2 linked regions of the Anolis sagrei genome follow. The protein of the gene in region 1 purifies or fractionates together with the protein of each later gene. This does not show direct contact. Links are inferred from orthologs where the notes say so. Each region holds a gene or a part of one and is shown on either strand. Other genes may lie near its edges.

Evidence for each region.
Region 2: the proteins of VARS1 (region 1) and EEF1G purify together in Homo sapiens (affinity purification with mass spectrometry; 6 studies listed by BioGRID and IntAct, counting the BioPlex papers as one, with this or other methods). This does not show direct contact. The link is inferred for Anolis sagrei from reciprocal best matches to the Homo sapiens genes VARS1 and EEF1G.

What each region holds. Positions count from the first base shown.
Region 1 is NC_090022.1:21,192,499-21,208,289, reverse strand, and holds the start of VARS1 (valine--tRNA ligase), read left to right. Parts: upstream 1-8,979; 5' UTR 8,980-9,088; intron 9,089-15,151; 5' UTR 15,152-15,170; coding exon 15,171-15,524; intron 15,525-15,791. Other genes in the region: U6 snRNA-associated Sm-like protein LSm2, read left to right, coding at 1,383-1,450, 2,093-2,123, 2,554-2,613, 3,329-3,454. UniProt on the Homo sapiens protein: Catalyzes the attachment of valine to tRNA(Val).
Region 2 is NC_090032.1:21,209,740-21,225,541, forward strand, and holds the start of EEF1G (elongation factor 1-gamma), read right to left. Parts: upstream 6,245-15,802; 5' UTR 6,152-6,244; coding exon 6,137-6,151; intron 2,556-6,136; coding exon 2,397-2,555; intron 2,275-2,396; coding exon 2,211-2,274; intron 2,087-2,210; coding exon 1,944-2,086; intron 1-1,943. Other genes in the region: RXFP4 (relaxin-3 receptor 2), read left to right, coding at 8,504-9,985. UniProt on the Homo sapiens protein: Probably plays a role in anchoring the complex to other cellular components.

The sequences.
Region 1 (15,791 bases):
ACACTGATGGGCTTTGGGGAAAATAGACTTTGACATTTGGGAGTTGTAGATACTGGAATTTATAGTTCACCTACAATCAAGGAGCGTTCTGAACCCCACCAATGATAGAATTGGGCCAAACTTTCCACACAGAACCCCCATGACCAACAGAAAATACTGTGTTTTTTGATGGTCTTTGGCGACCCCTCTGACACCCCTTCGCGACCCCTTCAGGGGTCCTAACCCCCAGGTTGAGAAACACTGGCTTAGATAGATGGAGCCCCTGGTGGCACAATGGTCAGGACTGCTGACCAAAAGGTTGGTGGTTCAAAGCCAGGGAGTGGGGTGAGCTCTCCTCTGTCAGCTCCAGCTTCCCATGTGGGGGCATGAGAGATGCCTTCCACCAGATGGTAACACGTCTGGGCGTCCCCTGGGCAATGTCCTTGCAGATGACCAATTCTTTCACACCAGAAGCGACTTGCAGTTTCTCAAGTCGCTCCTGACACACACACACACACACACACACAAAAGAAGCTCAGATAAGTGATAATGCTGAAATATAACATTTACTGTGACACAATATTCTGTTTAGAGAGAAGAATGAAAGCAACACCTGGGAACTGTACCTCCTACAAACAGGGACACGAGCCAGCTGTACACTGCAAAATCAATGTAGTTTGATGCCCCTTGACCATCCATGGATCAATGCTATGGAGTCCTGGGAGTTGCAGTTTGGTGAGGACCAGTTCTCTTTGGAAGAGAAGGCCAAAGACCTTAGAATAGTAGAGTTGGAAGAGACCACATGGGTCATCCAGTCCAGTCTCCTGCCATGCAGGAAAACCACAATCAAAACATCCTCAACAAATGACCATTCAGTATTTTTTTTAAAGCCTCCAAAAAAGGAACTTTCATCACACTCCAAGGCAGAGAGTTCCACTGCTGAACAGCTCTTACAGTCAGGAAGTTCTTCCTAATGTTCAGGTGGAATCTCCTTTCCTGTCATTTGAACCCATTGCTCCATTGAGTCCCAGTGTCCAGAGCAGCGGAAAACAAGCCTGCTCCTTCTTCCTTATGAGAGTCTTCCAGATATTTATACAAAGCAATCATGTCATTCTCTTCTTCAGACTGAACTTTTCCAGCTCCTGAAGCCACTCCTCATAGGGATCATTTTAGTGGCTTTGTGAAACTACAACTCTCACGACCCCATAGCATTAAGCCACAGTGATGTCAAATTACATTAATTCTACACCCAGTGCTGCAGACAAGCAACTTTTCCAAGCCCTGCGAAGCACGTGGTGTTTCCTGCTGGGCAGTGCAAGGAGACTATGAGGTTTTTACTTTGTCTTTGAGTGCATTATCTTTTTTACTTCTTTGTTTACATTGTCCCTTCTTCCTGGCTACAGCTCTTCTACTCCTTCTTCAAGTCCCTGGTAGGGAAGGACGTAGTGGTTGAACTGAAGAATGACTTGAGGTAGGTCTCTTATTTGCAAAGGAAGTTTTGCTTTTTTGGGGTGGGAGCAAGATAATGAACTGTCAGTTCCTAACCCATTTTCTCTGCCTTTTCCATCTTCAAAGAAGCCACAATTTGCCTCCAGTAAGCACTAACTGAGTCAGTTGCTTCACTTTGCCTAATGACAGAACTGGCCTTGATTTAGATCAAACTTAAAGAACCCATGTAATAATAATAATAATAATAATAATAATAATAATAATAATAATTTATTTGTACCCCACTACCATCTCCCCAAGGGACTCGGTGCGGCTTACATGAGGCCCAGCCCACAATACATCAGCAAAAACAACAACAGCAATACAAAACAATAAAATGAAACTCATAAACAAAAAACAAGCAGTAAACATTAACAATAGCACAACAACGCTTAAAAACCTATGTCTGGGCCAAATGTAATAATTAATTTTTTTTTAAATAATTCTGAGCATGACCAGGTGAAATATATAACAAGGATAGAATTTCGGAGAGGAAAGGGCATGCAAACAATCCTAGATCATTGATAAAGTGCATTTAGGGACATATTGCTCGGAGTTTCCTTATTCTGTATCCTTTCTAATGTTCAATAATGTCTTTGCTTTCTTTTTCCTCCCTTAAATACAGCATATGTGGGACCCTGCACTCCGTGGATCAGGTACGATTGAGCCAATTCTTCTTCCCTTCTGGAGAATGCATGTGGCTTTGTTGGGTTTACACATTTATTTTATTTATGATATTTATAGCCTGCCTTTCTCAGCCATACAGCAACTCAAGGCGGGATACAGATTGGCACAATTCAATGTCAGGCATTCATAAAAGTGCCATTAAAAACAAACAACATTACAATATAAAACACAAATAAAAACAGTTAAAACATATAATCATCTGTGTCATCTTGTTAAAAATGTAATCAAGTAACATCATCTGGTCATTCCATGTTTATCATTCATAGTTCCATGTTATCTATTCCGCTGCTTTGCCTGTTTTGAGTGTCAAGTGGTGGCTTGCATCTGTGAAAAAAACATTGCAGAAAGGGGTTTATTATGTCCTTATATACACTTCTCTTTCCTTTTCTTGAAATACAGTACCTGAATATCAAGCTCACAGACATCAGTGTAACAGATCCAGAAAAATACCCTCATATGGTGAGTCTTACACCTAGGCTGATGGGAGTTGTGGTTGCTTCTGAGGCTAACAGCGGGAGCTCACCCCACTCCCCAGATTTGAACCGCCGATTTTTTTTTGGTTAACAAGTTTAGCAGCTTGGTGGTTTAACCCGCTATACCACCGGGGTCTCCTTTTTTTAAAGTAACCTAGTGATTTTTCCTGGCTCTGGATATTTGAATCCTGTGGTACATCCAGGCATGGGCAAACTTGAGCCCTCCAGGTGTTTTGGACTTCAGCTCCCACAGTTCCAAACAGTGAGTAGGCTGTTAGGAATTGGAGGAGTTGAAGTCCAAAATACATAGAGGGCTCAAATTTGCTCATGCCTGATCTATACTGTAGAATGAATACAGTTTGATCCCACTTTGTTATGGCTGAATGCTATAGAATCATAGGATTTGTTGTTTTGTAAAATCTTTAGCCTTCTTTGTTAAAGAGTGCCGGCACCTCACCAAATTGCAGTTCCGATAGCATTGAACCATTGCAATTAAAGTGGGGTCAAGTTGCATTAATTCTACAGGGTAGCATCCTAATCTAGCACTCAAACCACTATGCAAGCTCATGTAGATCTCTGTGTGCTACCTTTCAGGGCAAGACATAAAAATGAAGACATTATTTAAAGGTAGTTTCACTGTTCTGAACAAACAAAAAATATCACAATAACAAACAAAATGCATCTTTTCTTCCTCCGACCAGCTGTCTGTCAAGAACTGCTTCATCCGTGGCTCTGTTGTTCGCTATGTTCAGCTTCCAGCTGATGAAGTCGACACCCAACTTCTGCAGGATGCCGCACGAAAGGAGGCCCTCCAGCAGAAGCAGTGACAGTTTCCTTCTTTTTACTCCCTTCCCACCCTAATTTCCACCCAGAAGTGCTGGAGGAAAGCTAGACCAGCTTCTTTATGGGAGGGAACCAGCAGTGTATGTGTATATGCGTGTGTATGTGGGTACATTCAAGTGTACTGTTGGGTGAGAAAATCCTTGTGAATATTTTCCATTTCTTTTGTCCCTCCCAGAGGCAACTCTAGTGGGGGAATATTGTTTTCTGTTTCCACTACATGGATGAGACCCATTACTGGGATAATACCAGTGCTTTTTGTTTTTCTAAGCTCCTATTGCCAGTAGCTCAATTTTTGTTTTTCTACCGAACTCTCCCTCCGTCCCATTCAGCATTTCATTTCTGTAGCACTGTTTGCTGCTGAAAAAGTATCTCCCAGCAAAGGTCTGTTTCCATATTAATATATAAAAGAAATGCATGCAGACATTTCTGGAATACATCCTCCCAGTTGTCCTCCAGGAATGTTGGGATACAATTGCAACACTCCTTTGAGCTAAAATGGAGAATGTTGTGAATGTTGTAGCTCAACACATCTGAAGGAGCCTTAGTTGGAGGAGATTGCTTTAGTCTTCCTCTTCTATACAATGGTCACAAAGGATGGCTAAAAGCTAGACTGTTTTTTGGCTACAAGCTCTTTCCAGCTTTCTCTTGTCTAACCTCAAAAAGGTAATTTTGGGAAGTGTTTGAAGTCATTAGAGATTTTGTCAGTGGATATACCACCCTTTTTGTTGATAATTTCAAAACGTGCTGAAGGACTCTTGCAGAACCTTTGGTGCCAACATCATTTCGGTCCCATAACCTTATTTTATTCCATCCAATGTACACCTGTAATCTCTTAATAAGAGTGATACATTCAAATATTTTTGTCTTTTGGGGCTCTAGAGGATACTAGAAACCTAGATCCACAATCTTTCTGAAGCAAGAGAAGTTTGCTTCTTCATTGGTTTTGTTCCTGCAAAAAGAGTGAAACAACCCATATTCATGCTTCTGAAGTTTTGTTATCCTAGTGATTTCCATCCAGGGGTGTGTGGGATGACTTTTTTGTATTTACAAGGGATGTTTTGAAAAAGAAATATGTAACATTTAAACTATGGAAGAATAAAATGTTGAATTTGAAAGACTAGTTGCTCTGAGTATCAAAGATAGGCACAATATCATATAAACAATGGATATAAATAGATGTTGCAGACACTTATTGTTTTCTGAGAGAATACTTCCTAGAAATGCCTAGGCCCTCTAATTGAATGATTAACGGTAAGACACGACTAATCAAATCTGCAAATGCTCACCTTCAAATATAGAGAATTATGGATATGTATAGAACACACATTTTTCCTTTGCTTATTTATTTACAGTATTTATATTCCACCTTTCTCATCCCAAAGGGGACACAGGGTGGATAAGAGAACACATATTCGGTAAATATTCAATGTCGATTATACAATGACAAGACAGGCAACAGATAGTAGTATTATATCAGCTTTTCCCTATCTTTTCGGCATCTTTGGAGGCTGTGCTCAGTTCCGGCCACAGGGGGATGTTGTCGCTCCATCTCCTTGCTGAAGAGCATTCTTCGTTGGTAAACTTTTTTCTTCTTTTTTCTCTGATTGAAAAACTGTGCTTAAAATACCTCCCTACTTTAATGCAGTTCCTGTTTATCTACTATTTGCTGTTTTTGATCTGCTCGTTGGGCGGGTAGTTGGGCTGAAGGTCAGGAGCTCACCCTGACCCAGCTTTGAACTGTCAACCTTTTGGTTGGCAACCAAGATTTATTGCAGCTATAGCTGGCGATTAACCTGCTGTGCTAAAGCCAGCTTATGTAGTTTGAGGCAGCTCTCCCTAGAAGCCAGGATGACAAAACAGAGAGTGCTGCACTTTCAGCATATCATATGGAGTCCCCGGTGGCGCAGTGGGTTAAACACCTGTGCCGGCAGGACTGAAAACCGACAGGTTGCAGGTTTGAATCTGGAGAGAGGCGTATGAGTTCCCTCTATCATCTCCAGCTCCTCATACGGGGACATGAGAGAAGCCTCCCACAAGGATGATAAAAGCATCAAATCATCTGGGCGTCCCCTGGGCAACGTCCTTGCAGACAGCCAATTCTCTCACACCAGAAGCGACTTGCAGTTTCTCAAGTCACTCCTGATATGACAAAAAAACAAAAAGCATATCATAAGAAGGATTGACTTGCTAGAAAATACAACACTATGCAACATGATTTTTGGTCCTGGGTTATAAATGTCATTTCCTAATTGGTTTGATCTTAAAAACAAGGAAAATGATTATTAAACTTCAAAAAATTGTTTTTGCAAGACATCCTGCAGCACATTTTGCTATAGTTTTTCAATGAATATCTCGAGTCTCAATCAATTCACCTTACTTTGTGGCAGTCACAAAAATGAAGTTTCTGGACTATAACAACAATTTTCAAAGTAAGTACCACATACTTAAACAGGAAATAACTTTTTCAAACCAGGAATACATTTTTTTCATGCGGTTTCTCAAGTCACTCTTGACACGAAAAAAAAATCACTTTGCCATTGGTCTTGTTTAGCTGGGGAACATGGGAAACAAAAAGAGTGGGCCAAACCATATTATTCTATGATTGCACACCACAGTATTTTTAAAAAGCCCTGCTAATCACGCATAGTGTTTATTACTTACTTAGGCAATCCCTTGTAGTCCGAGTAGGATTGTCATCCAAGATCGATGTACTGGCGGTGGGTCCGTAGGTGACTGTGGAGCCCTATTCTTGATCTGCATCTTCTGAAGTGAGAGCATTGGTTTCCAGGTGGAAGGCGGTCCCGGTCGGGATTGGCTTGACGTGTCTTCCTCTTGGAACATTTCTCTCTGTCTCCCTCCATTTGTGCCTCTTCAAATTCTACAGCATTGCTGGTCACATCTGACCTCTAGCTGGAGGGCTCAAGGGCCAGGGCTTCCCAGTTCTCCGTGTCTTATGCCAGAGTTTTTGAGGTTGGCTTTGAGCCCATCTTTAAATCTCTTTTCCTGCCCACCAACATTCCGTTTTCCATTCTTGAGTTTGGAGTAGAGCAACTGCTTTGGGAGACGGTGGTCGGGCATCCGGACAACGTGGCCGGTCCAGCGGAGTTGATGGCAGAGGACCATCGCTTCAATGCTGGTGGTCTTGCTTCTTCCTGCACACTGACATTTGTCTGCTTGTCTTACCAAGAGATTTGCAGGATTTTCTGGAGGCAACACTGATGGAATCGTACCAGGAGTTGCATGTGATGTCTGTAACAACAAACACAAATCCACTACAAGTCGTAGTACATAATTCACAAAGGTAAATGTTTTTTTCCAGCTTATATAATGCAATATTAAACTTATAACCAACTTATATGATATCATATAAGTTGATTATAAGTTTAATATTGCATTATATAAGCTGAAAAAAAATTACCTTTGTGGTTTATGTACTATGACTTGTAGTGGATTTGTGTTTGTTGTGATTGTGGAAATCCATTGTCTTATGTGACGTCTGTAGACAGGCCACGTCTCGCAGGTGTATAGCAGGGTTGGGTGGACAATGGCTTGATAAACAAGCCCCTTGGTATCCCTACAGATGTCCAGGTCCTCAAACACTGTGCTTCATTCGGAAAAATGCTGCACTTGCAGAGCTCAGGCGGTGTTGTATTTAAGTGTCGAATGTGGAGAGGTGGCTGCCAAGGTAGCGGAAATGGTCAACATTTTCTAATGTTTCACCATTAAGCTGTATTTTTGGCATTGGAGAGGGATTGGCTGATGACTGCTGCAAGAGCACTTTGGTTTTCTCGATATTCAGTGACAGGCTGAGCTTCTTGTATGCTTCTGCGAAGGTGTTTAGAGTGGCTTATTTATTTATTTATTTATTTATTTATTTATTATATACCATCCAGTCTCAACCTCCGCAGAGGGACTCAGGACGGCTAACAAAACGGCACCCCATGGTGCCCATACCAGAAACATAAAAATACAATTTAACAGCAATATGGCAATAAAACTGTATAAAACAATCCAGCAGTCAGCAGTTTGAATCATCATCCAAGGGGCAATCAGTCAGTTCTATAAAAGTCGTCATATCAGCAACTCAACCTAATCTAGCCAGGATTTCACTTGTTTCCGGAAGGTCAAGAGGGATGCAGAAGATCTAATTTCACTTGGGAGGGAGTTCCATAGCTGAGGGGCCACCACAGAGAAGGAACCAGGCTTTTGGCTAATGGATATAACAGCACCTGAACAGTGAATTGGACTAGACGGTTGTTATAATGGAACTGCCTTTATGATTGGATAACTAACATTGTTTTAATGTATTATATTGTATGATTTTATTTTGCTATTATAATTGTAATTATTGTGGCATCGAATCGTTGCCATTGTTAGCTACTCTGACTTCCCATGAGGAGGTGAGAAGAGCGGGGTAGAAATGCTGTAAATAAATAAATAAAATATCCCTTGTCACAACCAGACGTGATTGCGACAATGGGGGGACAATGAGCAGGGTCTCCCTGGATGATTTTAGGGCCGTAGGTGGATCGTAGCGGGAGATACGTTCGTACAGGTAAACTGGACCAGAACCATTTAGGTCAGTGATGGGCAACCTTTTGAGCTTGGTGTGTCAACATTTGCCAAAAACCTGAGCATAACTTGGGTGGGGTGTCAACTTCAAGAAAAAAACAACATAATTTTGCAATATTTATAGTTTAAATAAGAAAAATGTATATTCCATGCTGAGTTATGGAGTGAACAATGCTCAAACGTGCAAATGTTAAATTTGTAGAGCCTTTTACAAATTTAAGGATGGAATTAGATTGGCTGTTATAAGGTGTACTTCTCTGTCTGTGGCCGCATGTGGCCACGTGTCATCAAAAATAGCGATGCGTGTCAGTGCTGACACACGTGTCATAGGTTGACCATCATGGATTTAGGTCTTCTTCTGAATGCGCACAGATGACGTTGTCATCAGCATACTGGAGTTCTATAACACATGTTGTAACCTTGGTTTTGGCTTTCAGTCTGCTGAGGTTAAATAGCTTGCCATCTGTCTGATAGATGATTTCCACTCTGGTGAGAAGCTTCCCATCAACAAGATGAAGAATCATAGCTATTTTCCATAGTGTTTATCACAGAGATATCAATGTTGAGAAATCTCACTATATACATTTATGGGCTAATAGTCTCCTAATAAGAGAACTTTGCCCGGAAGTTCTGCATCTGTATCACTCTAACTGTTTTTCTCTGTGGTCAGTTTTAGACTTTTTGTCACTCCTACCAATAAGAAGAGGACCCTGCGAAGGGCTGTCTAAGCAACTGCCTTTGTGAAAAAAAATAAATCCCCATTCACTCGAATGTGCATGATGCAACTGGTTTGTAATCATTAGGAGTGAAGGCTCTCCTTCCTTCTAGGAGAGGAAGCGGTATTCAATTGCATTACTTCTACAGTGTAAATTTACTCAAAGGCACAGGGTTATTACAGTGCTGTTTCCTTAACTTTGCGCACCTAGTATTCCTCCTGCTTGTAGATACATGAGACAGGCATTGCTGTAGACGCCTACAGAAGGGGTCCTTCCTCCAAAAGAAAAAGCAGCACGTGGGGGAGAGGCTGGGACCGGCTGGCAGTGCAGGTAAGAAGGAAGCCCTTCCTGTCCCCATTCCCTGCTGGGACCCTCCCAACTATTCAATAAGTACTTCCCCTTCTTTAGCCTGTGCTGTCAACTCTTTTCTCTACTTCCAAGAGACTTGGATTTCCTGCTTCTTCCCTTTGCAGTTCATTGCAGCTCTGAGTGCATCTACACAGTGGAATTAATGCAATTTGATACCACTTGAACTGCCAAGACTCAGTGCTATGGAATCCTGGGAGTTGCAGTTTGTAAGGTCTTTAGTTATTCCTTCCCCACCAAAGTACAACGCCCAGGATTCCATACCATTGAGAGATGGCACTCAAAGTGGTGTCAAACTGCATTAAATATGCAGTGTAGACATTAATTCCCAGTTGTCACTTTAAAGAATCCAGATCTTGTCAGATCTTTGAAACTAGAATCCTAGAGTTGGAAGAGACCTTATGGGCCATCCAGTCCAACCCCCTGCCAAGAAGCAGGAAATTTGTATTCAAAGCATCCCCGATAGATGGCCATCCAGCCTCTGTTTAAAAGCTTCCAAAGAAGGAGACTCCACCACACTCCGGGGCAGAGAGTTCCACTGCTGAACAGCTCTCACAGTCAGGAGGTTCTTCCTAATGTTTAGATGGAATCTCCTTTCATAGAATCATAGAGTTGGAAGAGACCTCATGGGCCATGCAGTCCAACCCCCTGCCAAGAAACAGGAAAAATGCACTCAAAGCACCCCCGACAGATGGCCATCCAGCCTCTGTTTAAAAGCTTCCAAAAGAAGGAGCCTTTACCACGCTCCGCGGCAGAGAGTTCCACTGCTGAACGGCTCTCACAGTCAGGAAGTTCCTCCTAATGTTCAGATGGAATCTCCTTTCATAGAATCCTAGAGTTGGAAGAGACCTCATGGGCCATCCAGTCCAACTCCCTGCCAAGAAGCAGGAAAATTGCATTCTAAACACCCCTGACAGATGGCCATCCAGCCTCTGTTTAAAAGTTTCCAATGAAGGAGACTCCACCACACTCCGGGGCAGAGAGTTTCACTGCTGAATGGCGCTCACAGTCAGGAAGTTCTTTCTAATGTTCAGATGGAATCTCCTTTCCTGCTTCGTGTCCTAGTCTCCAGGACAGCAGAAAGCAAGTTTGCTCCCTCCTCCCTATGATTTCCTCTCCCACATTTATACATGGCCCTCATCATACCTCCTCTCAGCCTTCTCTTCTTCAGGCTAAACATGCCCAGGTCTTTAAGCCGCTCCTCATAGGGCTTGTTCTCCGGGCCCTTGATCATTTTTGTTGCCCTCTTCTGGACACATTCCAGCTTGTCAATATCTCTCTTCAATTGTGGTGCCCAGAATTAGACACAGTATTCCAGGTGTGGTCTAACCAAAGCAGAATAGAGGGGTAGCATGACTTCCCTGGATCTAGGCACTATACTCCTATTGATGCAGGTCACAATCCCACTGGCTTTTTTTTTTTGCCGTCGCATCACATTGTTGGGTCATGTTTGACTTGTTGTCCACGAGGACTCTAAGATCTTTTTCACACGTACTGCTCTCGAGACACGCCTCCCCCATTCTGTATCTTTGCATTTCTTTTTTTCTGCCTAAGTGGAGTATCTTGCAACTAAGCAGGGTCAGCTCTATTTCGCCCTTGCAAGGATGCTGTAGTGCAGGCATGGGTTGTTAGGAATTGTGGGAGTTGAAGTCCAAAACACCTGGAGGGCCAAAGCTTGACCATGCCTGCTGTAGTGTGTTTCAAAAGAAGGAACGGGCAAAACCACATCTTGAATATTCCTTGCCTGAGAAAAACTTACAAAATTAATAGTTAGTGATGAGTCCACAGTCAGACTTGAAAGGACACATACAAATATAGGCAATCCCCAAGTTACAGACATCTGACTTATAGTTAAGAACGGGGGTGAGACAACAAGAACTGAGAGAAATCGACTTATAGGAAGGGAATTTTATTCCTGGGGGAGTTATCATGGGGAAAAGGTATCTCCATTGAAGCTTTCTCACCCATCCTTGTTTCCACAACAAGTCATAATATTCAAATTCCACACCTGGAATACTGTGTCCAATTCTGGGCATTGCAATTCAAGGGAGATGTTGACAAGCTGGAATGTGTCAAGAGGAGGGTCTGGAGAAAAAGCCCTATGAGGAGCGGCTTAAAGAGCTGGGCATGTTTAGCTGCAGTAGAGAAGATTGAGAAGAGACGTGATGAGAGCCATTTATAAACATGTGTGTGTGGGGGGGGGGACATCATAGGGAGGCGGGAGCAAGCTTGTTATGGGATGACTGTATATAAAAAAAACTGGGAATATTTTATCCTTCATAGAATACTCCTTGGGACCTCTATCCTAATGCCTGAAGATCTAAGGGTGCATTTATGCTATAGAATTAATGTAGATTTAACTCCACTTTAACTGCCTTGGCTCAATGCTATGGAATTTTGGGAGTTGTCGTTTTACAAGGTTTCAGTCTTCTTGCCAAAGGGAGATAGTGCTTCATCAAATAAAAAATCATGGATTCCCAAACATTGAACCATGGTATCAAATTGCAATTATTCAGCAGTTTTGATGCACTGTATTATAGAAAAGATACCCGAGTCCTAGAGCCATCTGGATAGCATCTCAAGCATAAAAATAATGATTTAGAACAAATTTAGGAGAGTTCCTGAAAAATTAGATTCCTTTCTTTCCTGGATTCAGATAGTTGAGGTAATAACATTTCCTCCTCCTATCTCTTGGGACACCGTCTTTTCCCCATATGGCACTGCAGAAGTATTTTCACTAACTCTCTTCTCTCAGCATAATATAACTATCATGCACAGTGTTTATATTTATTCTCTACACAGACATATAGCATGCATTCAGGAAAGGTGGAGAAAACACTGGCTTTTGTTCCTCTTGAGTCATTGAGTTCCTCTTTTCACCTTAAAAAAAAGAAACGGATGCATCACTGAAAGATATGCTGAATATTGCATCTTCCTAGGCCCTTCTATACTGCCATATAATACAGATTATCAAAGGAGATAATTCACATTATCTGCTTTGACCTGGATTATATGAGCCTACACTGCCATATAATCCAACTCAAAGCAGATAATCTGGATTTTATATATCAGGGTGGATGTGTTGGGGATTCCTCGTCGGAAGAGGAAGGGGAGCAGGGAGGTGCTCAAGTCTTGGAGGGAGAGGAAGAAGAATCCGACAATGAGGTTTTGCAGGTGCCTACTTTTGTAGAAAGACAGAGGGAGTCAGAGAACAGGCTGCGGTCAGCTGCTAAAAGATTGATGAGCTAATTGGGTGACACCGTAAGCCCTCCTGTGTGGAGTATAAATCAGAAGCAGGAGAACTTAGCTTTTTGCTGCTAACAGCAACTCTGTTACTGTCGTAACCTGCTTTGTGTTGAAGACTTTGTGATCTGTGCCTTATTGTCTGCTGATTTTGCTGGGAATTTTTCAAAAGACTTTCATTGGTGTCTGTAGTAAGACTTCCTTGTTTTCTTTTTCAATTGCATTTGCTTATTTTGTTTGCTGGTGTAAAGCATTTTTCTTTTACTTTCAATTTTGTATTGAGGCTGTTTTTTTAAGAGCAAAACAGGACAGGATGGGAGCTAAGTGACAGTTTGATCCCTCTTGAAATTATTGCTCACAGGACGACTTAAAAATCAACTATTTATTTATTTTATTTACAGCATTTATATTCCGCCCTTCTCACCCCGCAAGGGACTCAGGGCAGATTACAGTGTAGACATATATGGCAAACATTCAATGCCAAAGACATACAACAGATATAGACAGTCAGAGGCTATTTAACTTTTCTGGCCGCCAGGGGAGCTGTCGCTTTCATCGTCCATCTGCGACTGATGAAGTATTTCTGCATTCCCCGCATGCTTTTTTGCTGGAGTGCTTTGCTGAAATCTTTTTTATGGCCTCATAAATTAGTTAAATTAGCCTCCCTACACATAGGTGGTACCTAATTTTCCTACTTGACAGATGCTACTGTCTTTCGGGTTGCAAAGGTCGACAACAAACTACACTATTGGTTGGAAGCTCACTCCCACCCGGGCTCACTTTGAACTCATGACCTTTTGGTCAGAAGTGATCTTAATGGAGCTGACACTCAGACAGCTGCGTCACAGTCCCGGTGCAACTATGGGAAATCTAAAGTTCTGGTTTTTTTTTAAATTTCCCCATGCCGATGGTCACTCAATGGGCATAATTTAGAACAGGCTAGAAACTTCCAATACCTGGGGTTGACTTTCTGTCACATAATGTCCTGGACCTCTCATATATCTGCTACTTCTCAGAAAGCTCAAGTAAGCAGATTAGCCATCTTGCACTTTAGTCTAACCAAATGAGGTTAGTATATACCATCTGCTGTTAAAGTTTTTAGAGCTAAGACAGCCTCCCAGCTGTTGTATGCTTCCAATATTTGGATTGAGGGCTTAACATCTCAGCTAAACAAGCAACAATTAATTTTCTTGACGGCTCTCTTTCAGTTCTCCAGTTGTGTTCCAACTTGCATCTTGCTGCTAGAATTTGGAAGCTTGGTGGTTGGCTCTTAAATACTGACTCAAGATTAGTGTTTTTGGTTTGTGTCCAGGTCAAATTTACCATCTATCTCAGGATGAGTATACAGGTTGATGGTCTAGGGTTATTTTTTTTAAATGCCTCTTCCATTAGCCTTTCTGCATTAATTTTAACTCGCCTAGGTTTTGACTTGGCACTTAAACCAAGCGAAAACTGTGGGACATTGCCTTCTGTAAGTTGTAATCCAACTCATATGTTTCTTGTTCCCCTAGTACCATGATGGTGAATCTATGACACGCGTGTCAGCACTGACACGCATGGCTATTTTTGATGACACGCAGACACATGTGGCCACATACAGAGAAATACACCTTATAAGAGCCAATCTAATTCCATCTTTAAATTTGTAAAAGGCTCTCAAATTTAACAACTGCACATTTGAGCATAGTTCACTCCATAACTCAGCATGGATTATACATTTTTCTTATTTAAACTATAAATATTGCAAAATTATGGGGTTTTTTTTCTCAAAGTGACACTCCACCCAAATTATGCTCAGGTTTTTGGCAAATTTTGACACACCAAGCTCAAAAGGTTGCCCATCACTGCCCTAGTATGTTGTGTATACACTACACAGGACCACTCCACAGAGCCAATTTTCTGTTCCTGGTTTGTAAGTCTTATTTCCTGTTTAATTGTGCAGTACTTAATTTGAAGGTAGTTGTTATACTCCAGAAACTTCATTTTTGTGGTTGCCACAAACTATGTTGAAATGGTCACAACTCTGTGAGATGCTCATTGAAAAACTATAGCATAATGTACTGCAGGATGTCCTGCAAAAACAAAGTTTTTGCAGTTTAAGAAATCTTTCCCATGTTTTCATGATAGAACCAATTTGGAAATGACATTTATAACCCAGGAACAAAACGTGTGTTACATAGTGTTATCTAAAGAATCTGACTATTGCCAAATACTGCCTATTTACCAAAGCAAGATGTCACATATTCCCCTCAGGAATGCTTTGAGGCAGGTTTGCAAGTGTTCTATATCATACAAGAAGGAAGTAGAATGTGTGAAACACACATGATTGTCCCGAAGCTTTTGCAAGCAGGCTCAACAACATATTATTAACCCATTGCCGTGCAACCTACCTGGTAGGTCAGCTGAATTCTATGTCAAGTTTTTACTGGAAGATAATCTTCCTCGTGTGCCTTTGGACATTACCAAGTTTCTCTCAGGGGTAGCCAGGATAATAAATCTTGCTGCTCTAGACTCAAGCTGAAACTAGCCTTTGCATTAATCCATATGTACCTTGTATTTTCTTGTGTTTTAACCAGTGTATTAATCTGTATGCACTTGAATATCTTCGATGTTCGAGCTGCCTGGGTCTGTAATAAAGCTTGTGGTTGTCATAATTTAAGTATTCCCTATTGGACCAAACCAGATTGGGGTGCCTCTGGCTTGCCAGATATACTATATGTATAAGGATCTGTGTCTCAAGGGCTGATCCTTCATCTCTAACTCTTCCTTGTTCTTTGTTTGCAGGACACACTGTCTCCTCGCCATGCCAACCCTATATCTTTCCCCACATCCTGACAACTTCCAGAATCTTTGTGTGCTTGTTGCAGCCCGTTATGGCCATCACGAGCCCAAGGTGGTCAATCTGCCCCCTGACACGGAGCTGGAGAACCCTTCCATCTCCATCCCCAAGCTCCCAGCTCTGGAGATGCAAGCTGGCATCTATGTGTCTGGGCCTGCGGCTGTCTCTTTCCTCCTCTCCTCAGATGCCTTGAGAGGGCAAGGTCCTGAAGCCAGTGCCTTGATCCGGCAGTGGATCAGCTTCGCCAACTTGGAAGTGGCTCCTGCTGCTTGTGCAGCGGCTTTTTCAGTGTTGGGGGTCTCCAAGCAAAATAAACAGGTAAGCACTGGGAGATGTGCGTCTTGCTGATGTAGTGCACTGCAGTTACTCAATGAATATTTTTGGAAAATGGCATTCATAATCATTTGAAGATCATAACCTTTTGGAAAAGCATGACCTTTTAGAGAAGAGCCAGAAACCCATTTGAGAAGAATCTCCTCACAAGTGGTACATGACCAGATGTAATTATTCAAGGCAATTTACCTTTCAGTTGTTAGACTGATAACCTGTTGTGTCTGATCTGTTAGGAAACAGAGGATATGCCTG
Region 2 (15,802 bases), on another chromosome or scaffold:
CGATGGAACTCCCTTCCTGGTGAGATCAGGTCGGCCCCCTCCCTCCTGTCCTTTAGAAGGATGGTCAAAACTTGGCTGTGGGACCAAGCTTTCAGGACAATAGGAAAGATGGCCAGGCAATTGGATTTGACACAAATGGCTAGGACGGTTTTAAATGGTGTATCTATATAAATAAAAATGTAATGTTCGTTTGTGGGATTAAGATAACTCAAAAACCACTGGACGAATGGACACCAAATTTGGACACAAGACACCTCTCAGGCCAACGAGTGACCATCACTCATCAAAACACTGAAAAACACAGCGGAAGGGACTTAAAAAGCCAAAAATTAAAAATTACATGACAATCCATGCACAAAACCACAAATATACACAAACACACATACACAAATAAATATACACACATATATGCATATATACACACACAAAACACAGAAAGGGGGAAGGAAGGAAGGAAGGAAGGAAGGAGAGAAAGGTAGAGAAGGAAGGAGAGAAGGAAATAAAAAAGTGAAAGAAGGAAGGAAAGAAGGAAGGAAAGAGAGAAAGAGGGAGCGAAGGAAGGAAGGAAAGAAACTGGTAGAGAAGGAAGAAAAAGGGAAAGAAGGAAAAGAAAAAGGGGGAAAGAAGGAAGGAAAGAGGGAAGGAAGGAGAGAAGGAAGGAAAGAGAGAAAGAGGGAGCGAAGGAAGGAAGGAAAGAGAGGATGGAACCAAAGAGCAAAGGAAGGGAGGAAAGAAACTGTTAGAGAAGGAAGGAAGAAAAAGGGAAAGAAGGAAAAGAAAAAGAGGGAAAGAAGGAGAGAAGGAAGAAAAGAGAAAGAGGGAGGGAGGGAAGGAAGGAAAGAGAGAAGGAAGGATGGAACCAAAGAGCAAAGGGAGGGAGGAAAGAAACTGGTAGAGAAGGAAGAAAGAAAAAGGGAAAGAAGAAGGAAAAGAAAAAGAGGGAAAGAAGGAAGGAAAGAGGGAAGGAAGGAAAGAGGGAAGAAAAGAGAGAAAGAGGGAGGGAGGGAAGGATGGAAGGAGAGAGAAAGAACGATGGAACCAAAGAGCAAAGGAAGGAAGGAAAGAAACTGGTAAAGAAGGAAGAAAGAAAAAGGGAAAGAAAAGAAAAAGAGGGAAGGAAGTAAAGAGGAAGGGAAGGAAGGAGAGAAGGAAATAAAAAAGTGAAAGAAGTAAGGAAAGAGGGAGAGAAGGGAGGAGAGAAGGAAATTAAAAAATGAAAGAAGGAAGGAAAGAGGGAGGGAAGGAAGGAAGGAAGGAAAGAGGGAAGGGAGGAGAGAAGGAAATAAAAAATGAAAGAAGGAAGGAAAGAGAGAGAGAAGGAAGGAAGGATACAGAGAGGGAAAGAAGGAGAGAAGGAAGAAAAGAGAGAAAGAGGGAGGGAGGGAAGGTGAGAAGAAAGGATGGAACCAAAGAGCAAAGGAAGGGAAGAAAGAAACTGGTAGAGAAGGAAGAAAAAGGGAAAGAAGAAGGAAAAGAAAAAGAGGGAAGGAAGTAAAGAGGGAGGGAAGGAAGGAGAGAAGGAAATAAAAAAGTGAAAGAAGGAAGGAAAGAGAGAATGAAGGAAGGAAGGAAAGAGAGAGGGAAGGAAGGAGAGAAGGAAGAAAAGAGAAAGAGGAAGGGAGGAAAGAAACTGGTAGAGAAGGAAAGAAGAAAAAGGGAAAGAAGGAGGAAAAGAAAAAGAGGGAAAGAAGGAAAGAGGGAGGGAGGGAAGGAAGGGAGAAGAAAATATCTGAGTGACCATCACTCATAAAAACACTGAGAAGCATAGTGGAAGAGAGTTTAAAAGTCAAAAAACAAAAATTAAAATACAACACATGCGCAAAACCACAAATACACACATATATATACACACAAAACACATATACACGGACCGGGCCACAGCAACGCGTGGCAGGGGATGGCTAGTTTGATATAAAGGCGATGGTGTATGGTGCGGACTTTACCTGCTTGTTGTAATGCATGATGCCCAAGGTTGGGAAGACCCAGGTACTGGCGGGAGGCACAATATCGCTGTCGGCAAAGCTCACCCACTGGAGGACCTGGGCGGCCGCCTCTTTGGTGGCTCCTCGCAGCTCTTCGTTGCTGACTGAAGGAATGAAGGAGACGGTCACCACAATAGGCCTTGCTTGGATTCCTGAGCTGAATTCCCACAAACTATAAATCCCCCTTTATGGAGGTAATGACAAAGACACATGGGGGAATACTGTTACCGTAGTGTGCAATGGCGTTGCTCTCAAACACGCAGAACCCATCGTCCCCTTCAAAAGCTGGGACCTACAAAGAAAGAGCTGTCGTAAGCCACCAAAGGGATGTAAACAATGACGCTAAGTCTCCCAGTGCTCCCAAGAATACGCTTCCCAGTCTTGACAGGTCCCAGCTCCATCCCAGAGACCCACCTTCCCAACTGGGAATTTCTTCAGGAACTCGGGGGTCTTGTTGGTCTGCCCGAAGTGGAACTGGGGCGGGCTGGAGAGGACCTTGATCTTGGCGCCGCTGTACTGGGCCGCAATGAGGACCTTGAAAGCCCGCCAGTTTTCGGGGTAAGTGTAGAGAGTCTGCAGAAGGATAATATTAATATTATTATTATTACTATTACTATTATTTTACTGACACCAAACCACAGTATGTCACAGCAAACGAGATCTATATGCTGGATTTCCTATCACAAAATCACAAGTCGAACACTTCCCAAGCATCTAGGACTGTGTGATGTATACATATTTATTATTATTATTATTATTATTATTATTATTATTATTATACCCCACTTATTCTCTTCACAAACAAGACCCAAAGAGGTTATGTATCTATTATTAGTATTATCATTTATTATTTATTATTTATTAATTTATTATTTATTATTATTATATTATATTATTATAAAGGAGAGAAAGAGGGATGAAAAGAAAAAGGGGGAGGAAAGAAAGAGGTAGAGAAGGATGGAAGAGAAGGTAAAAAAAAGGAAAGGAATGAAAGAGGTAGAGAAGTAAGAAAGGAGAGAAAGAGGAAGGGAAGGAAAAAAGAAAAGACAAGTATGGATAGAAGCAAAAAGCAAAGGAAGGAAGGAAAGAGGTAGAGAAGGAAGAAAGGAGAGAAAGAGGAATGAAAAGAAAAAGGGGAAAAGAAAGAGGTAGAGAAGGAAGGAAGAGAAGGTAAGAAAAAGGAAAGGAAGGAAAGAGGTAGAGAAGGAAGAAAGGAGAGAAAGGGGGAGGGAAGGAAAGAAGGAAAGACCAAAGTATGGATAGAAGCAAAAAGCTAAGGAATTTATTATTATTATTATTATATTATGTTTATACCCTGCTTATTCTCGCCACAAACAAGACCCAAATTGGCTACGCATCTATTATTAGTTTTAGTATGCATTATTATTACTATTATGTTTATACTCTGCTTATTCTCTCCCCAAACAAGACCCAAAGTGGCTATATATCTATTATTATGTTTATATCTATTATTAGTATTAATATGTATTATAATTATTATTGTTTATACTCTGCTTATTATCTCCACAAACAGTGGCTATGTATCTATTTTTAGTATTAGATGTATAATAGTAATAGCAATTATAATTATTATTGTTTATATTCTGCTTATTCTCTCCCCAAGGAAGACCCAAAGCAACTATGTATCTATATTAGTATGTATGTATTATTATGTTTGTACTCTGCTTATTCTCTCCCCAAGGAAGAACGAAAGTGCCTATGTATCTATTATTATTATTATTATACCTGCTTTTCTCTCCAGAAACAAGACTCAAAGTGGTTATGTATCTATTATTATTATGTTTATACCCTGCTTATTTTCTCTACAAAAAAGACCCAAAGTGCCTATGTATCTATTATTATTACTATTATTATTATTATTATTATTATTATACTCTGCTTATTCTCTCCACAAGCAAGACCCAAAGTGCCTATGTATCTATTATTATTATTATTTATCTATTGTTATTATTATTATTATGTTTATACGCTGCTTACTCTCCACAAACAAGACCCAAAGAGGCTATGTATCTATTATTATTATTATGATGTTTATATCTATAATTAGTATTAGTATTATTATTATGTTTATACTCTGCTTATTCTCTCCACAAACAAGACCCAAAGTGCCTATGTATTATTATTATTATGTATTATTATGTATATATTATTATTTTTATACTCTGCTTATTCTCACCACAAACAAAACCCAAAGTGCCTATATATCTATTATTATTATTATTATTATGTATATATTATTATTATTATTATTATTATTATGTTTATACTCTGCTTATTCTCTCCACAAACAAAACCCAAAGTGCCTATATATCTATTATTATTATGTATATATTATTATTATGTATTATTATGTATATATTATTATTATTATTATTATTATTATGTTTATACTCTGCTTATTCTCACCACAAACAAAACCCAAAGTGCCTATATATCTATTATTATTATGTATATATTATTATTATGTATTATTATGTATATATTATTATTATTATTATTATGTTTATACTCTGCTTATTCTCACCACAAACAAAACCCAAAGTGCCTATATATCTATTATTATTATGTATATATTATTATTATGTATTATTATGTATATATTATTATTATTATTATTATTATTATTATTATTATTATTATGTTTATACTCTGCTTATTCTCTCCACAAACAAGACCCAAAGTGCCTATGTATCTATTACTATTACTATTATTATTAGGGATGAGGGGAAGGACAAGAAAGACATGAAAAGGAGCAGAGGAACAGGATGATGGGCAATGTAGTCCCACAATGGCTAGCAATACAAAGTATTAGACAGCAAAAGGAACAGGATGATGGGCAATGCAGTCCCACAATGGCTAGCAATACAAAGTATTAGACAGCAAAAGAACAGGATGATGGGCAATGTAGTCCCACAATGGCTAGCAAGACAAAGTATTAGACAGCAAAGGAACAGGATGATGGGCACCAGATTGCCCCAAGGCTTCTCAGTCCCAGTTGTCACAACAGGCCAAAGAACAGCCTGCAAGCTTGGGCCCTCTGAGTGTTTGGGACTACAACTCCCATCATTCCTCGCAGCCTCAGGCCCCTTCCTTTTCCCCCTCAGCCGCTTAAGGAATGATGGGAGTTGTAGTCCCAAACACCAGGAGGGCCCAGGGGGGAAAGGAAAGGGCCTGACGCTGTGAGGGATGATGGGAGTTGTAGTCCCAAACACCTGGAGGGCCCAGGGGGGAAATGAAAGGGCCTGAGGCTGTGAGGAATGATGGGAGTTGTAGTCCCAAACACCAGGAGAGCCCAGGGGGGAAAGGAAGGGGCCTGAGGCTGTGAAGAATGATGGGAGTTGTAGTCCCAAACACCTGGAGGGCCCAGGGGGGAAAGGAAAGGGCCTGAGGCTGTGAGGAATGATGGGAGTTGTAGTCCCAAACACCTGGAGGGCCCAGGGGGAAAAGGAAAGGGCCTGAGGTTGTGAGGAATGATGGGAATTGTAGTCCCAAACACCTGGAGGGCCCAGGGGGGAAAGGAAAGGTCCTGAGGCTGTGAGGAATGATGGGAATTGTAGTCCCAAACACCTGGAGGGCCCAGGGGGGAAGGAAAGGGCCTGAGGTTGTGAGGAATGATGGGAATTGTAGTCCCAAACACCTGGAGGGCCCAGGGGGGAAGGAAAGGGCCTGAGGTTGTGAGGAATGATGGGAGTTGTAGTCCCAAACACCTGGAGGGCCCAGGGGGGAAAGGAAAGGTCCTGAGGCTGTGAGGAATGATGGGAATTGTAGTCCCAAACACCTGGAGGGCCCAGGGGGGAAAGGAAAGGTCCTGAGGCTGTGAGGAATGATGGGAGTTGTAGTCCCAAACACCAGGAGTGTCCAAGCTTGGGCCCAAGCCTGCTTCTAGACTCCCTCCACTCCACTGAGGCCTAAGAAGCCACTTCGACGTGGATAGAGTGACCCGACACTCCCCCCCGGAGGCCCTTCTCGCCCCCATTTCTCGCCCTTCATCCGCTTCCTCGCCCCCATATAGGCCCCAAAACCTCCGCCGGGGTCCCCTCTCCCCACTCGTCCCGCTTCGGGGCCCCTCCGTGGCTCCCCGGCCCCGATGGAAGCGGATGGAGGCCGGCTCCCCCTCCGGAAAGCGAGCTCACCCCGGCCGCCGCCATCTTCGCGAGGAGAGGAAAAGGAGGAGCGTCGCACGGCGCGGCCGTAAAGCGCAGCAGTGCGACATTCCCCGCCGGCCTCTTCTGTGACGTCACCAGAGAGAGAGAGGCGGGGCCTTGCGGAGGAGAAATGCCCAAGGAAACATAGAGCTAGCCAAAAAATAGTAGACAACCATCACCCTCAATCGGAGAGGGAGTTTCCGGGTTGCTCAGAAATTCTTTCCCAGAAACGCCCAAGGAAACATAGAGCTAGCCAAAAAATAGTAGACAACTATCACCCTCAATCGAAGAGGGAGTTTCCAGGTTGCGCAGAAGGAAATGCACAAGGAAACATAGAGCTAGCAAAAAAAGTAGTAAACAACCATTACTCTCAATTGGAGAGGGAGTTTCCAGGTTGCTCAGAAAGAAATGCCCAAGGAAACATAGAGCTAGCCAAAAATAGTAGACAACCATCACCCTCAATCAGAGAGGGAGTTTCCGGGTTGCTCAGAAAGAAATGCCCCAAGGAAACATAGAGCTAGCTAAAAAATAGTAGACAACCATCACCCTCAATCGGAGAGGGAGTTTCCGGGTTGCTTATAAATTATTTCGCAGAAATGCCCAAGGAAACATAGAGCTATCCAAAAAATGGTAGACAACCATCACCCTCAATCGGAGAGGGAGTTTCCGGGTTGCTTATAAATTATTTCGCAGAAATGCCCAAGGAAACATAGAGCTATCCAAAAAATAGTAGACAACCATCACCCTCAATCGGAGAGGGAGTTTCCCGGTTGCTCAGAAATCCTTTCCCAGAAATGCCCAAGGAGACATAGAGCTAGCCAAAAAATAATAGACAACTATCACCCTCAATCGGAGAGGGAGTTTCCGGGTTCCTCAGAAATCCTTTCCCAGAAATGTCCAAGGAAACATAGAGCTAGCCAAAAAATAGTAGACAACCATCACCCTCAATCGGAGAGGGAGCTTCCGGGTTCCTCAGAAATTCTTTCCCACCATATGGTTACAGTCTTATTATTATTGGTACATATTATTATTATTATTATTATTATTATTATTATATGTTACATTACATTATGTTACATTGTTATAGTGCTATTACTGGAATATTATATTATTATTATAATTATTATATTATTATATTATGTTACATGGTGAAAGTGCTATTATTGGTATAGTATTATTATTATTATTATTATTATTATATTATATTGCATTGTTGTAGTGTTATTATTGGAATATTATTATTATATTATTATATTATTATTATATTATGTTACATGGTTAAAGTGCTATTCCTGGTATATTATTATATTATTATTATATTATATTGCATTGTTGTAGTGTTATTATTGGCATATTATTATAATATTATATTATGTTACATTACATTATATTACATTGTTATAGTGATATTCTTTGTATATTATTATTATATTATTATATTACATATTATATTTATATTATTATATTATATATTATATTATACTATATTTCATTGTTATAGTATTGGTATATTATTATTATTACATCACATTACATTATATTACATATTACATTGTCATAGTGGTATTATTCGTAGATTATTAGAATATAATATTATATTATGTGACTTACATTATATTACATTGTTATAGTGCTATTCTTGGTATATTATTATAATATTATTATTATATTATATTGCATTCTTATAGTGTTATTATTGGCATATTATTATAATATTATATTACGTTACATTACATTATATTACATTGTATGTTTTGCATGTTTTGATATGGTCAAAATTGACTAATCAATAAAGAATTGTTGTTGTTGTATATTACATTGTTGTAGTGCTATTATTGGCATATTATTATAATATTATTGTATTATATTACATTATGTTATACTACATTGTTATAGTGCTATTATTGGTATATATAATAATAATAATAATAAATAATAATCTTAAATCGGCATATTATTATAATATTATTGTATTATATTACATTATGTTATACTACATTGTTATAGTGCTATTATTGGTATATATAATAATAATAATAATAATAAATAATAATCTTAAATCGGCATATTATTATAATATTATTGTATTATATTACATTATGTTATACTACATTGTTATAGTGCTATTATTGGTATATATAATAATAATAATAATAAATAATAATCTTAAATCGGCATATTATTATAATATTATTGTATTATTTTACATTACGTTATATTACATTGTTATAGTGCTATTATTGGCATATTATATAATCATAATAATAAATCTTATTATTTATTATAATAATAAATAATTATTATATTTTTATATTATATTATACATATTATTATATTTATAATAAATAATATATTATGAAGGTGGCTCCCTCCACCTTCCTGACTGTTTACACAAATCTCAGCACGCAATCAAAGATAAGAATCCCCGTAAAAGTCCAGAGAGCGAAGGCTGGGCTTCCTCCTCCTTCTTCCTCCCGGAGAAGAAGACGGGCCACCAACCGTGCCCTGCCCAGTGGTCATAAACAGGGGTTGTCCTTGGTCTTGAGGCAGGTTCCAGCCTTCCTTTGGCAGGTTAGATCTTCCCTTCCTTTCTCAAAGGAAGACCTGGAGAAGCGGAAGAGAACGAAAAGCCAAGGGAGACGTATCATCTGGGAGGCCACCACCCATGGAGGAGCATTCCTTTTGGTGATCCAGCGGGCAACGTGGTCCAAACCAAAGTATCTTTTGGAGAAGATGGAGGCCAGGAGGGATCTGGAACTCAAGAACCAGACCTCCCTTGACCACAGCGTTTGGAATTGGTCCTCCGTTGGTGCCTTCAATGAGGATGAAGACCTTCAGATGCCTTCTGACGTTGCCTTTGGCTTGCGGATGACCATCGTCGTGGTCTATGCGTTGGTCTGTGCCATGGGGCTGTTGGGAAACGCGTTGGTGATGTACTTAATCCGAGCACAGAAGATCCGCCCCGCGCCGGCCATTAATATCTTCGTCTTTGGCTTGGCGGCGGCCGACTTCCAGTTCTCCTTGACCCTTCCCTTCTGGGCAACCGAGATGGCGCTGGACTTCAGCTGGCCCTTTGGCATAACCTTATGCAAGATAGTCCCATCGATGACCGTCCTCAGCATCTACACCAACGTCTTCTTGCTCACGGCCATGAGCGTTGCCCGCTACCAGTTGGTGGCTTCAGCCATCAAGGATGGTTCCAGAATCACAATGCGCGTGGCCAAGTGGACAACGTTGGCTCTTTGGGTCTTAGCCATGGGAGCCACCATTCCGACCATGATCTACACCTCTGTGGTGGACGTCCTTGGGGTGGAAATCTGCGTTTTCAAGTTCCCGTCGCCGTTTTGGTTGGGCGCCTACCAACTCCAGAGGGTGGTCTTCACCTTCGTGGTGCCATTAGTGGTCATCTTGACCTCCTACCTGCTCCTCCTGAGGTTCCTCCACGTCCGCCGTGTCTCCGGTGAGAACTCAAAGAGGCGGAAACAAGTCATGGCTACGGTCGGCTTAGTGGTGGGGTGCTTCTTCGTCTGCTGGTTCCCCAACCACGCCGTGACCTTTTGGGGCATCCTAATCAAGTTCAAGGTGGTCTCTCTGGGGAAGGCCTTCTACGTCGTCCACACGTACTTTTTCCCCATCTCCACTTGCTTGGCTCACGCCAGCAGTTGCCTCAACCCGGTCCTATACTGTCTGATGCGCCGTGAATTCCGGGAAGCCCTCAAAGACACCTTCCGGAGGTTCTCCTCCTCCGTGGCGAACTACCAGTACTTCTCTTCTCACCGGACGCTGGAGGAAGTCGTGGTCCTGCCCTTGAACCGCAGGAGTCCAAGCGAACAGTAGGGTTTCCCCACCTTCTCTGGATCCCAGGACTCCAAGGAACGTGAGGTTGAGAGGATACCAGGGGTTGGGTGTCTACAAACTCCAGAGGGTGGTCTTCATGGTCCCATTAGTGGTCATCTTGACCTCCTACCTGCTCCTGAGGTTCCTCCAAGTCCGTCGTGTCTCTGGTGGGAACACAAGTCAAGTTCCTAGTCAAGTTTGAGGTGGTTTCTCTGAGGAAGACCTCCTACATTGTCCACACCTACTTTGCTTCTCACCAGACGATGGAGGAAGTCGTGGTCCTGCCCTTGAACCGCAGGAGTCCAAGCAAACAGTAGGGTTTCCTCTGGATCCCAGGACTCCAAGGAACGTGAGGTTGAGAGGATACCAGGGGTTGGGTGTCTACAAACTCCAGAGGGTAGTCTTCATGGTCCCATTAGTGGTCATCTTGACCTCCTACCTGCTCCTGAGGTTCCTCCAAGTCCGTCGTGTCTCTGGTGGGAACACAAGTCAAGTTCCTAGTCAAGTTCGAGGTGGTCTCTCTGAGGAAAGCTTCCTACGTTGTCCACACCTACTTCTCACCAGAAGCTGGAGAAAGTTGTGGTCCTGTCCTTGAGCCGCAGAAGTCCAAGCGAACAGAAGGAGGGTTTTCCAACCTTTTCTGGATGCCTGGACTCCAAGGAACGTGAGACGATACCAGGGGTTGGGCGTCTACAAACTCCAGAGGGTGGTCTTCACCTTCGTGGTCCAATTAGTGGTCATCTTGACCTCCTACCTGCTCCTCCTGAGGTTCCTCCAAGTCTGTTGTGTCTTTGGTGAGAACGTCTACCAACCCCAGAGCTTGGTCTTCACCTTCATGGTCCCATTAGTGGTCATCTTGACCTCCTACCTGCTCCTCCTGAGGTTCCTCCAAGTCCATCGTGTCTCTGGTGAGATTGTCTACCAACTCCAGAGCTTGGTCTTCACCTTTGTGGTCCAATTAGTGGTCATCTTGACCTCCTACCTGCTCCTCCTGAGTTTCCTCCAAGTCTGTTGTGTCTTTGGTGAGAACGTCTACCAACTCCAGAGCTTGGTCTTCCCCTTCATGGTCCCATTAGTGGTCATCTTGACCTCCTACCTGCTCCTCCTGAGGTTCCTCCAAGTCCGTCGTGTCTCTGGTGAGAACGTCTACCAACTCCAGAGGGTGGTCTTCCCCTTCATGGTCCCATTAGTGGTCATCTTGACCTCCTACCTGCTCCTCCTGAGGTTCCTCCAAGTCCGTCGTGTCTCTGGTGAGAACGTCTACGAACTCCAGAGGGTGGTCTTCCCCTTCATGGTCCCATTAGTGGTCATCTTGACCTCCTACCTGCTCCTCCTGAGGTTCCTCCAAGTCCGTCGTGTCTCTGGTGAGAACGTCTACGAACTCCAGAGGGTGGTCTTCCCCTTCATGGTCCCATTAGTGGTCATCTTGACCTCCTACCTGCTCCTCCTGAGGTTCCTCCAAGTCCGTCGTGTCTCTGGTGAGAACGCAAGTCAAGTTCCTAGTCAAGTTCAAGGTGGTCTCTCTGAGGAAGGCCTTCTACGTTGTCCACACGTACTTCTCTTCTCACCAGACGCTGGAGGAAGTTGTGGTCCTGTTCTTGAGCCGCAGGAGTCCAGCGAACAGTAGGGTTTCCCGACCTTCTCTGGATGCCAGGACTCCAAGGAACGTGAGGTTGAGAGGATACCAGGGGTAGAAATGCCAATGTGACCCCAAAAGAAACATGGAACTTGAAGGCATTTGGGTAGGATCACAGTTGGAAGAGGATCCAAGCACCAAACCATGCTCCAGGGCAAAGTTTCTGAAGGACACTGGTTCATTGTTGCATCCTTTGAGGAAACAACAACAACAACAATAATTTTATTGGGATGCTGGGAGTTTTTCTGGCTATATGGCCATGTTCCAGTAGCATTATCTCCTGACGTTTCGCCTGCATCTGTGAGAGGTCTGTTGGAAGTAAGGCAAGTGGTGTGCTTGTGTGTGTATATATACATATATCTCTCTTTGGGAGAAAGAAAACTTATCTGTGCATTGACTTGCCATGCAGCTGCAAAGTCAATCAGTGAGGGCATCGGCATAGGGGTCACAAGTGGAGTGTATATATATATATATATATATATATATATATATATATATACCTGTGGAATGATGTCCAGGGTGGGAGAACAAACCCTTGTCTATTAAAAGCCAGTTTGGATGTTGCAATGAGCAAGCTTGAATAACATTGAGTAGCCATGAAGCTGCAAAGTCAATCAATGAAGGTATCTGCATAGAGGTTGCAAGTGGAGTGTAGATATACCTGTGGAATGATGTCCAGTGTAGGAGGATGAACCCTTGTCTGTTGAAGCAAGGATGTTGCAATGAACAAGCTTGAATAACATTGAGTAGACATGAAGTTGCAAAGTCAATTGGTGAGGGTATCTGCATTCAGGTAGCAAGTGAAATGTATATACCTGTGGAATATGTCTGGAGTGGGAGGACGAACCATTGTCTGTTGAAGCAAGTGTGGAGGTTGCAATGAGCAAGCTTGACTAGCATTGAGTAGCCATAAAGCTGCAAAGTCAATCGGTGAGGGTATGTGCATTGAGGTAGCAAATGAAGTGTATATATAACTATCTGTGGAATGTCCAGGGTGGGAGAATAAACCCTGGTCTATTTAAAGCCAATGTGGATGTTGCAATGAGCAAGCTTGAATAATATTGAGTAGCCATGCAGCTGCAAAGTCAATCAGTAAAGGTATCTGCATAGAGGTAGCAAACGAAGTGTATATACATATATCTGTGGAATGATGTCCTGGGTGGGAGGAAGAACCTTTGTCTGTTTGAAGCAAGTATGGATGTTGCATTGAGCAAGCTTGAATAGCATTGAGTAGCCATGCAGCTGCAAAGTCAATCAGTGAGGGTATCTGCATAGATATGGCAAGTGGAGTGTATTAATAATAATAATAATAATAGTAATAATAATAATTTACTCTCTTGAAGTGTGTGTGCTGCATTGAGCAAGCTTGAATAGTATTGAGCAGCCATGCAGCTGCAAAGTCAATCAGTGAGGGTATCTGCATAGATACGGCAAGTGGAGTGTATTATTAATAATAGTAGTAGTAATAATAACAATTTACTCTCTTGAAGTGTGTGTGCTGCATTGAGCAAGCTTGAATAGCATTGAGTATCCATGCAGCTGCAAAGTCAATCAGTGAGGGTATCTGCATAGATATGGCAAGTGGAGTGTATTAATAATAATAATAATAATAATAATAGTAATAGTAATAATTTACTCTCTTGAAGTGTGTGTGCTGCATTGAGCAAGCTTGAATAGCATTGAGTATCCATGCAGCTGCAAAGTCAATCAGTGAGGGTATCTGCATAGAGGTAGCAAGTGGAGTGTGGAATGATGTCCAGGGTGGGAGGATGAACCCTTGTCTGTTTGAAGCCAGTGTGGATGTTGCAATGAGTAAGCTTGAATAGAACTGAGTAGATATGAAGCTGCAAAGTCAATCAGTGAGGGTATCTGCATAGAGGTAACCTGGCCCCTGTTGCCTGGAGGCACCCTCAGTTTGAGAGGTGTCTGGGGTTCCCCTTTCTGAGTGGAGTCCTTTATTTAACTGTATTATTTTGCCGACAGGTGGAATGTTCGTGCCATTGACGGCTTTAGTGTTCATGCAAAACAGCCCGTAAAGTCTGAAGGTCGCAATAAGTTTTGTTTCTTGCCTTCCGGCCTCCAAGTTTTACGAGAGGCGAACCCTTTGATCCTAGTCTGTGTACAATATTTGGAATGGAAACAGAACCAGGTGAGTTGCTGTGAGTTCTGGCCCTGTTCCAGAAGCACTCTCTCCTGACGTTTCGCCCACATCTATGGCAGGCATCCTCAGAGGTTGTCTGTTGGAAACTAGGCCAGTGGGGTCTATATATCTGTGGAATGGGGTCGAGTGTAGGAGAAAGAATTCTTGTCTGGCTGCTTGGGGGAATCCTTTGTTGGGAAGTGTTAGCTGGCCCTGATTGTTACCTGCCTGGAATCCCCCTGTTTTCTGCAAGGCCGTTCAATACTATTCAAGGTGGCTGATGGCAACATTCACACAGAGTTCTGGACATAATTCCACAGGAAAATATACAGTCTCTTGCTTCATTTCCAACCGACTTCTATGCAAATACCCTCACTGATTGACTTTGCACCTGCAAGGCCATTCAATGCTAATCAAGGTGGCCGACGGCAACACTCACGCAGAGTTCCGGACATCATTCAGCAGGAAAATATGCAGTCTACTTGCCTAATTTCCAATAGATCTCTATGCAGATACTCTCACTGATTGACTTTGCAGCTGCAAGGCCATTCAATGATAATCAAGCTGACCAATGGCTACATTCACATTTGTCTCCAACATACAACAGTTCCTTCTCCCACCCTGGTCATCATTCCACAAATATATAAACCCCACTTGACTAGTTTCTAACAGACTTTATGCATATACCCTTACTGGTTGACTTTGAAGTTGCAAGGCCATTCAATGCTAGACAAGGTAGCCAATGGCAACATTCGCACTTGCCTCCAACAGACAAGAGTTCTTTCTCCCACCCTGGACATCATTCCACAGGGATATTTACAGTCTACTTGCCTCATTTCCAATAGATCTCTATGCAGATACCCTCACTGATTGGATTCCCTCGGGCAGGAAGCAGTGAGTCTTTGCAGCTGCAAGTCCATTCGGTACTAATCAAGTTGGCCAATGGCATCATTCACACTTGCCTCCAACAGACAAGAGTTCTTTCTCCCACCCTGGACATCATTCCACAGCGTTATATACAATCTACTTGCTTGATTTCCAATAAATCTCTATGCAGATACCCTCACTGATTGACTTTGCAGCTGCAAGGCCATTCAACACCTGCCTCCAACAGACAAGAGTTCTTTTCCCCACCAGGATATATACAGTCTATTTGCTTCATCTCCAATAAATCTCTATGCAGATACCCTCACTGATTGACTTTGCAGCTGCAAGGCCATTCAACACCTGCCTCCAACAGACAAGAGTTCTTTTCCCCACCCTGGACATCATTCCACAGGGATATATACAGTCTACTTGCTTAATTTCCAATAAGTCTCTATGCAGATACCCTCACTGATTGACTTTGCAGCTGCAAGGCCATTCAACACGTGCCTCCAACAGACAAGAGTTTTTTCTCCCTCCCTGGACATCATTCCACAGGGATATATACAGTCTACTTGCTTCATTCCAATAAATCTCTATGCAGATACCCTCACTGATTGACTTTGCAGCTGCAGGGCCATTCAACACCTGCCTCCAACAGACAAGAGTTCTTTCTCCCACCCTGGACATCATTCCACAGGGATATATACAGTCTATTTGCTTCATCTCCAATAAATCTCTATGCAGATACCCTCACTGATTGACTTTGCAGCTGCAGGGCCATTCAACACCTGCCTCCAACAGACAAGACTTCTTTCTCCCACAGATATATAAAAATGCTTTTCCTAGTTCCAACAGATCTCACAACCTCTGAGGATGCCTGCCATAGATGTGGGTGAAACGTCAGGAGAGAATGCTTCTGGAACAGCCCAGAAAACTCATAGCAACCTCTGATTAATTCCTTCTTTTAATTATTTGGGATTGGACTCAATTTCCTCCTTCTTCCGCCTGACAAACACGGAACATCATGTCTGGATAAATTTAGAAAGTATCTCAGGCTGTGATTAGGCCTCCGTGTGCGTGTTTTCCTTTTCTGTGTACATACCATTAAAAATAAACAGACACCATGTTTTATTACGTGCTTTGGTTCCTTGTTCCCTGGGGTGGAAAAGAACAG